Sus scrofa: one gene and its partner. The protein of the gene in region 1 purifies or fractionates together with the protein of each later gene. This does not show direct contact. Links are inferred from orthologs where the notes say so. Each region holds a gene or a part of one and is shown in the gene's direction. Other genes may lie near its edges. The genes, in order: PBXIP1 and SLC27A1.

The links.
Region 2: the proteins of PBXIP1 (region 1) and SLC27A1 purify together in Homo sapiens (co-immunoprecipitation; 3 studies listed by BioGRID and IntAct, with this or other methods). This does not show direct contact. The link is inferred for Sus scrofa from reciprocal best matches to the Homo sapiens genes PBXIP1 and SLC27A1.

The regions. Positions count from the first base shown.
Region 1 is NC_010446.5:94,840,314-94,844,116, forward strand, and holds part of PBXIP1 (pre-B-cell leukemia transcription factor-interacting protein 1), read left to right. Parts: intron 1-1,441; coding exon 1,442-1,568; intron 1,569-1,824; coding exon 1,825-1,889; intron 1,890-1,957; coding exon 1,958-2,123; intron 2,124-3,077; coding exon 3,078-3,317; intron 3,318-3,431; coding exon 3,432-3,455; intron 3,456-3,711; coding exon 3,712-3,794; intron 3,795-3,803. UniProt on the Homo sapiens protein: Regulator of pre-B-cell leukemia transcription factors (BPXs) function. Inhibits the binding of PBX1-HOX complex to DNA and blocks the transcriptional activity of E2A-PBX1.
Region 2 is NC_010444.4:60,221,879-60,225,681, reverse strand, and holds part of SLC27A1 (long-chain fatty acid transport protein 1 precursor), read left to right. Parts: intron 1-1,725; coding exon 1,726-2,120; intron 2,121-2,231; coding exon 2,232-2,393; intron 2,394-2,490; coding exon 2,491-2,560; intron 2,561-3,327; coding exon 3,328-3,419; intron 3,420-3,494; coding exon 3,495-3,604; intron 3,605-3,803. UniProt on the Homo sapiens protein: Mediates the import of long-chain fatty acids (LCFA) into the cell by facilitating their transport at the plasma membrane.

The DNA.
Region 1 (3,803 bases):
TTGAATCAGAGCTCCAACTGCCAGCCTACACCACAGCCTCGTCTGCAATTTAACACCACAGCTCACAGCAATGCCAGATCCTTAACCCACTGAGTGAGACCAGGCATCGAACCTGCATCCTTATGGATACTAGTTGAGCCTTGACGGGAACTACCAGCCTGGGAACTTCTGGAAGGGGCCTGAAGGGCCTGGCATAGGCATTCGGGCCTCCTCCTGCTGGGAAATCACTAAAGGGCTTTGAGTGGAGGGAGTCAGGACAATCCCTACCTTGGGCAGAGCGGGCTGCCACTGCATGGGTCGGGTGGGAACAAGGTGAGAGTTTTGGAAGGTCCTACAATTCAGGTTGTAGTTGGTGGGGCCGGAGCCTAGGGGACTCCTGTGCCCCTGAAACCACTGAGAAGGGGGCCAGCAGGCTGGGGGACAGAGGGGCTGGAGCAAGTTTGTCAAGGGCTTGGTGTATTAGCACTGCCAGGAGGAGAGAGGGTAAGGACGTCAGGTTCGAGTAAGCTGTCCTCAGGCTGATACTGGGATGGACACCATGCGCCTAGTCAGAACCTTGGCCTCCTGTTGGGGTGCCTTTGCTGACAGCTGGGGGGCCTCGGGCAAGGCCGTTTCACCTCTCTCTTCCCTTAAAAAGGGAGTTGTGATTCTTGCCTTTTAGGGAGGGGTCATGAGCAAAAAAGTGACTTGAAAATGGTGAAGAAGAGTTCCTGTAGTGGCTCAGTGGGTTAAGAACCCGACTGGTATCTCTGAGGATGTGGGTTGGATCCCTGGCCTCTCTCAGTGGGTTAAGGATCTGTCGTTGCTGTGAGCTGTGGTGTAGGTCACAGACTCAGCTTGGATCCGGCTGTGGCGTAGGCTGGCAGCTGTAGCTCCAATTAGACCCCTAGCCTGGGAACCTCCATATGCTGCAGGTACGGCCCTAAAAAGACAAAAAAAAAAAAAGATGTAACTGGAGTGAAAGCCTGTGGGGGATGTGGCTGATCCTTCGGCATCCAGGGGACTTTGTTCTTTTACCATCCACCCACCTTCCGGCCAGTAACTGAGTTGCCAGTTGTGGGGAGGGAGGCCCTGGCTCTAGCCGGCCTCTCTGGGGTGGTGGGGGGCATCAGGTTTGTAGAGTGATCCAGTGCCTTGGTCCAGTGGTGCTTCTCCATTTAATAGAAGCTTGGCCTTCCAGAGTACCCAGAGTGCCCCAGAGCAGCAAGTGAGGTTTAGGGAATGGGTCAAACACTCTCTGGAGCTGAGATGCCGCAGCACCAGCTGACCCCCGCCCCCTGCCTTCTCGGGCTCAGCCCGCTACTGAACGTGTCATATTCTGGTGAGATGTGTGTTGGGGTCCCTGAGCCATGCAGCTGGTCCCAGGGACCCTAGTGGAGCACCCTGTGCTCTTGCTGTCCTTCCTCTGGGACAGCCCTTCTGCTTGTGTCCCTTCCCCCAGAGCTTGCCTGTGGAGACACTGGGCCCTGAATCCAGGAGGGACCCAGAGCCTGAGAGCGCCCCCCACACCCCTCAGAGCCCCTCCAAGGCAGCTGCTGAAGAATTAGCTGGGACTTTGGATGGAGAAGGTAACAGGGCGCTGCTGGGGGGGCGGTGCAGCCACCTCTCCCCCGTGTTCTGGGGTTTCCCAGTTTCCTTGGGGAGAGGGAGGCTGGTCGGTCTTATTTCCTGCCTTAATGTCAGCTGAAGACCTTCCTCCCTCGTCCCATCCTGGCTTTGTCCTGCCTCTTCCAACCAGGACGGGGCCTGTGGGAGGCAGAGGGCCACGTGGGGTGTTCAGCTGGGGGCTGTGGTATTTTTCCTGAGCCCTTTCTCCCGCCACAGAGACCCTGTTTCAGAGCGGGCGCTCCGGGTCTGGCCCGACTCTGCCAGAGGAGACGGAAGCCAAGGTGAGAACCCGTGCTGGGGGAGGGGAGGAAGGCGGGGACGGGCCTGCTCACGGCTCTGTCTGCATCAGGGAAGCCTGGAAGGTGATGCTTGTGGAATGGAGCCTCCTGGCCCAGGAGACACAGAGGCCCAGGGAGACTTGGAGGAGACCCCCATGGTGGGAGGCCTGGGACCAGACACACAGGACCTGGAGGATCAGAGCCCCCCCAACAGCCTGCCCTCATCTGCCAAAACAGGTGAGAGTCTTCCTTGTCACTATCCTTCTAGAAGACATCCCTGCTGGGCACAGGCCCTAGGACTTAGTGGCTTGGTACCCTCTATATCATTAACTCCTCCCCCGCTTCCCCCAGGGGCTGGGAATAGCTGCAGGAGCTTGATGTGAGCCTGTGGCGTTGGAGGGAGGAGGGTGCTTTTAGGGTGAAAGCTGCTCTTGTAGGAGTTCCTGTTGTGGCTCAGTGGTAATGAACCCAACTAGCATCCATGAAGACGCAGGTTCGATCCCTGGTCTCGCTCAGTGGGTTAAAGATTTGGCATTGCTGAGAGCTGTGGTATAGGTGGCAGACCCAGCTCGGATCCTATGTTGCTGTGGCTGAGGCGTAGGCCGGCGGCTGTAGCTCCGATTTGACCCCTAGCGTGGGAACCTCCATGTGCCACGGGTGTGGCCCTAAAAAGTGCAAAAAATAAATAAATAAATCTTTTTTTTTTTTTTTTTTTTTTTTTTTTTTTTGTCTTTTGCCATTTCTTGGGCCGCTCCCGCAGCATATGGAGGTTCCCAGGCTAGGGGTCGAATCGGAGCTGTAGCTGCCGGCCTACGCCAGAGCCACAGCAATGCCAGATCCGAGCTGCGTCTGTGACCTACATCACAGCTCACGGCAATGCCAGATCCTTAACCCACTGAGCGAGGCCAGGGATCGAACCCGAGTCCTCATGGTTCCTAGCAGGATTCGTTAACCACTGAGCCACGACGGGAACTCCAAAAAGTTCTTGAAGTTTATAGATTGGAAGGACTGATCTCCCGCTGCTGGACTGGGCGGGGGTGGTTATGGATGCCCAGGCAGACGTGGGTGGGGGTCTCCACGTGCCTCCTCCACCGTCAGGGCTGAGGACCTCCCTGTGCTTGCCTCTATTCCGCATCTCTTGGGATGTCCCATCTCTCCAGTGGCCTTACTGCCCTGTCCTCATCCCTCCAGCTTGGCTCAGTGAGGAGGTCCATGGCTCCAGCAGTGAGGATGACACAGATGTGGACGTGGAGGGTCTGCGGAGACGGCGGGGTCGGGAGCCCAGCACTCCGCAGCCCGCAGCCCGCCCGGGTGTAGAGGACCTGGCCCAGGCCCGAGGCGAGGCCGCGGGCGGGGAGCTGGGCATCTCCCTCAACATGTGGTTCCTCGGGGCCCTGGTTCTGCTGGGTCTAGGCATCCTCCTCTTCTCCGGTGAGCCATCCCTCCCCTGCTGGGGCCTCTCCTCTGGCCCCTTCTGCCTCCTGCTGTCCTTTGCCCAGCCCCCCCACAGAGGGCCTGACCTGCCTCCTCTGTCTCCCTTTTTAGGTGGCCTTTCAGATTCAGAAAGTGGTGAGTGAGGACAGGTCCTGGCTGGTTCGAGTCTGTCCCCTCCCAGCCCTGAGGGAGGTGATGGGTGGTTCTCTGGGTCTGGAGTAGAGATGCTGGGGGCCGTGCATGTGGGTGGGCTCTGTGAAAGGCCTTGTCAGCTCTTCAAGGTGACCCTTGACCCTTTAACCTCACTTGACCTCTCAGCTGCAGGGAGGGTCGGGGCTGGAGGGGGCTCTGTGTGCCCTGAGGCCGGTGTCAGGATTTCACTTTCCCACAGGGCCAGTGGAGGAAGCGGACCTGCAGGTCTTCCCAGATACCGGCTCAGATACCGAGATACTGGAGGCTGTGGGGGATGGGCAGGCATGTGTG
Region 2 (3,803 bases), on another chromosome or scaffold:
AAGGATTTGCTTTTTTAAACTGTGCCACAGATGATCTTTGTGAGTTTCATTCATGCATATAAGAATTTGTTGTAGTAAAATGCATGTAAGATTTACCATCGAGTACATTCACAGTGTGGTGCAACCATCAGCTCTATCCAGAAAAAGTCCCTCACCCCAAAAGGAAACGCTGTTCCTATTAGCAGTCACTTCCCATACCCCCAGCCCCGAGCAACCACTAATCTGCTCTGTCTTCAAGGGTGATTTTTGAGGTGTAATTTATATATCATAAAATGCACCTGTTCTAAGTGTACAGTTGGGATTTGGGGTACCACATGCAGGTAACCACCGCCATCAAGATATGGAACAGGAGTTCCCATTGTGGCTCAGTGGAAATGAGTCTGACTAGCATCCATGAGGACGATGGTTCGATCCCTGGCCTTGTTTAGTGGGTTAAGGATCCGGCATTGCTGTGAGCTGTGGTGTAGGTCACAGACGCGGCTTGGACCCTGTGTTGCTATCTATGGCTATGGTGGAGGCTGGCAGCTACAACTCCTACTCGACCCCTAGCCTGGGAACTTCCATATGCCATGGGTGTGGCCCTAAAAAGACAAAAAAAAAAAAAAAGATATAAAATATTTTTATCTGTCTGCAGTGGACATGTTGAGTCCAGGGGTGTGGAAGCTATTGCAGAGAATCAAGGAAGCACAGAGGAGGCAGCGGGGGTGCAGAGGATGGATTTCATAACCAATTTGATGCCAGAGCTGGTGGGACACAGTGCCAGATGCTGGTGCCAGATGAAGCCTAAAGAGGGGGTGGAGTCAGGACCACTTATATTGGCAGAGCAAGCTGCTGTAACAAACAGGCCCCTACTTGTCATTGGCTTAATCCAGCACAAGGTTACTAACCTCTCAGAGCCAGGGGCTCTGGGTGGCAGGGTAGGAAGCCAAAGAAAGCCAGGAGAACACTTGTTTCTTGAGCTCGTACACTGAGAAATTCTGGATTTCTTAGTTCTGTGATCGAAAGCGATTTGTTTGCTTAAAACCACACAAGTTCATTTCTCACTCATCTGAAAGCATGGCATCCGTGACTGCTGCTCATCTCCACAGGGTCATTCAGGAACCTGGCTCCTTTTACTGGGCTTCTACTTTCCCCTGGCTCCCCTGGTCCCCTTAGAGCTACTAGCTGAGGGGGATGGGGGAACAAGTCATCTGCCATCAGGGCCTCTTGCTAGCCTGTCCCCTGGCCCTGCCTGGGGCAGAGGCAGCTCCTCCCACGGGTGCCTAGTGCTGCCGAGTAACTTGGGAGTGGGACAGTCACCCAGCTCACAGATGGACCCCACAGCCTGGTTGTGGAGTGGAGCATGAGGCATCCAGGCTGGAGCCAGTGGCAGGTCCACACGGGGTGCTGGGGACATCCCAGGGAGGAGAAATGAAGGACTGGGCCCTGGCTCCTTCAGGGTCACTGAGCAAGCTGGGGTAAAGGAGGTTGGGGTGACTCAATTACATGGCATGGTCTGGCCAGCTCTGAGAACCCGCCTATTTCCGGGCTGGTTGGTAAATGGCCCTTTGTCCTTAGTCCCCTAGAGCTCAGCAACCCAAGGGTCTTCAGGGAACCCTCGCCACTCTGGGAGGTAGGGGGACCTTTCCCTCTGCTTTCTCCATGTGGGGATGCTGAGGCTCCAGGAGGTCTCCCAGAAGCCGGGCTGGATGCCCAGTGACACCAACCCCTCATCCCCTCTCCCAGCGGCCTCTCCGTGTTGATCCGTGTGCGCCTAGAGCTGCGGCGGCACCAGCGCGCCCGCCACACCATCCCGCAGATCTTCCAAGCGGTGGCACGGCAGCAGCCTGAGCACCTGGCGCTGGTGGACGCTGGCAGCGGCGCATGCTGGACCTTCGCACAGCTGGATGCCTACTCCAATGCTGTGGCCAACCTCTTCCGCCAGCTGGGCTTTGTGCCGGGTGATGTGGTGGCTATCTTCCTGGAGGGCCGGCCTGAGTTTGTGGGGCTGTGGCTGGGCCTGGCCAAGGCGGGCATGGAGGCCGCTCTGCTCAATATTAACCTGCGGCGGGAGCCCCTGACCTTCTGCCTGGGCACCTCGGGCGCCAAGGCCCTGGTCTTCGGAGAGGAGCTGGCAGTGGGTGAGGCTGGGGGCGGGCATTTTCTTGGTGGGGGCAGGGAGACGGTGCCCCCCCCAGGCTGTGGGAAGGGACCTGTCCATCCTTGACCGTGGCATATGTTTCGGGCCTCAGCGGTGGCCGAGGTGAGCGGACAGCTGGGCAAGAGCCTGGTCAAGTTCTGTTCTGGAGACTCGAGGCCTGAGGGCCTCTTGCCGGACACCCAGCTCCTGGATCCGCTGCTGAAGGAGACCTCCACAGCCCCCCTGGCACAGCCCCCTGGCAAGGGCATGGATGGTGAGCTGGTGTGGGGGGTCCCTCTGCTGAATCCCACCCTGTCCCCTCCTCCCACCCACCCCAGCCTCTGGTCCCAACACTTGACTCTCTCTCTCAGATCGACTCTTCTACATCTACACGTCAGGGACCACGGGGCTGCCCAAGGCTGCTATCGTCGTGCACAGCAGGTGTGGGGCCCGTGGGTGTTGTCCCCAGTGCGGAAGGACTACAGATCATCTGTCCCGCCTGATCACCACCCCGCCTCCGGCTCCTGTTGGGGTCTTGTGGGCATCTTGATCCCAACTCAGTAAAACCCACAGCCCACCTCAGGACACAGTGCTGCCCCTCCTCAACCCCCCCCCAACTTCTGCCCCAATAGCCCTCCTCTCCTCAGTGGCCATAGGAGGGTTTAAAATCCTAAATCAAGCCTCCCCTGTGCCAGACCTCCCAATACCCACCTTGGCCCTGATAATAAAAGCCACATCTGCGTTGCCTGGCCCCTGCCACTTCTCTGATGTCATTTTCTTCCTCTCTACCTCTTACTCCCTCCTCCTCCGGCCCTCCCACTTTCTAAAACTGGCCAGACCCCTTCTGATCTCAGGACCTTTGCATGTGTTCTGCCCTCCACCTGGTGCCCTTCCCTAGTGTGCCCCACAGCTCCCTCTTGCCCTGTCTTGGCTTGTGGGTCACCTCCCCAAAAAGGCTACCCCAACCTCCCTGGCTGTGTCCCTTTCAGCTTCTCTCTGTCTCTTTGCCTTATTATATCCCTCATGGCACCTAGCACCATTTTCTTTTTTTGTTGCATGTCCCTCTCTGGCCAGCCTGTAAGGCCCCTCTGAGCTGGGCTGGCTCAGCTTCGCTCCTTGCTGTGTCCCTAGTTCCCAGCACGTACCCATCCCTTCCATGCTTTTTTCAGGGAGATGGGTCCCAGCCCCTGCACCCCTTGCCCCCACAGGTACTACCGCATCGCGGCATTCGGCCACCACTCCTACCGCATGCAGGCAACAGACGTGATCTATGACTGCCTGCCCCTGTATCACTCGGCAGGTAGCAAGGGGCAGCTCGGGTGGGGCAGGGGGCGGGGCCCTGGGGACCCCCCCTCATCGAGTCCACTCTCTGCAGGGAACATCGTGGGCGTGGGTCAGTGTCTCATCTACGGGCTGACGGTGGTCCTCCGCAAGAAGTTTTCAGCCAGCCGCTTCTGGGAGGACTGTGTCAAGTACAACTGCACGGTCAGACCCCGCCCCCTCTCGCCCCTCCTGTGCTCCGCCCACCCGCCCACCCCTGTGGCTCTGAAAGGCTGCCTCCCAGGGACGTGGTGGGGCTGGACGGATGAATCAGTGCCTCAGGCTCCGTGTCTAGCCCGAGGCTAAACTCACTGGATCTTTACAGTTACTTGGAAGCGGCAAAGGCGTCATATCCATTTTGCAG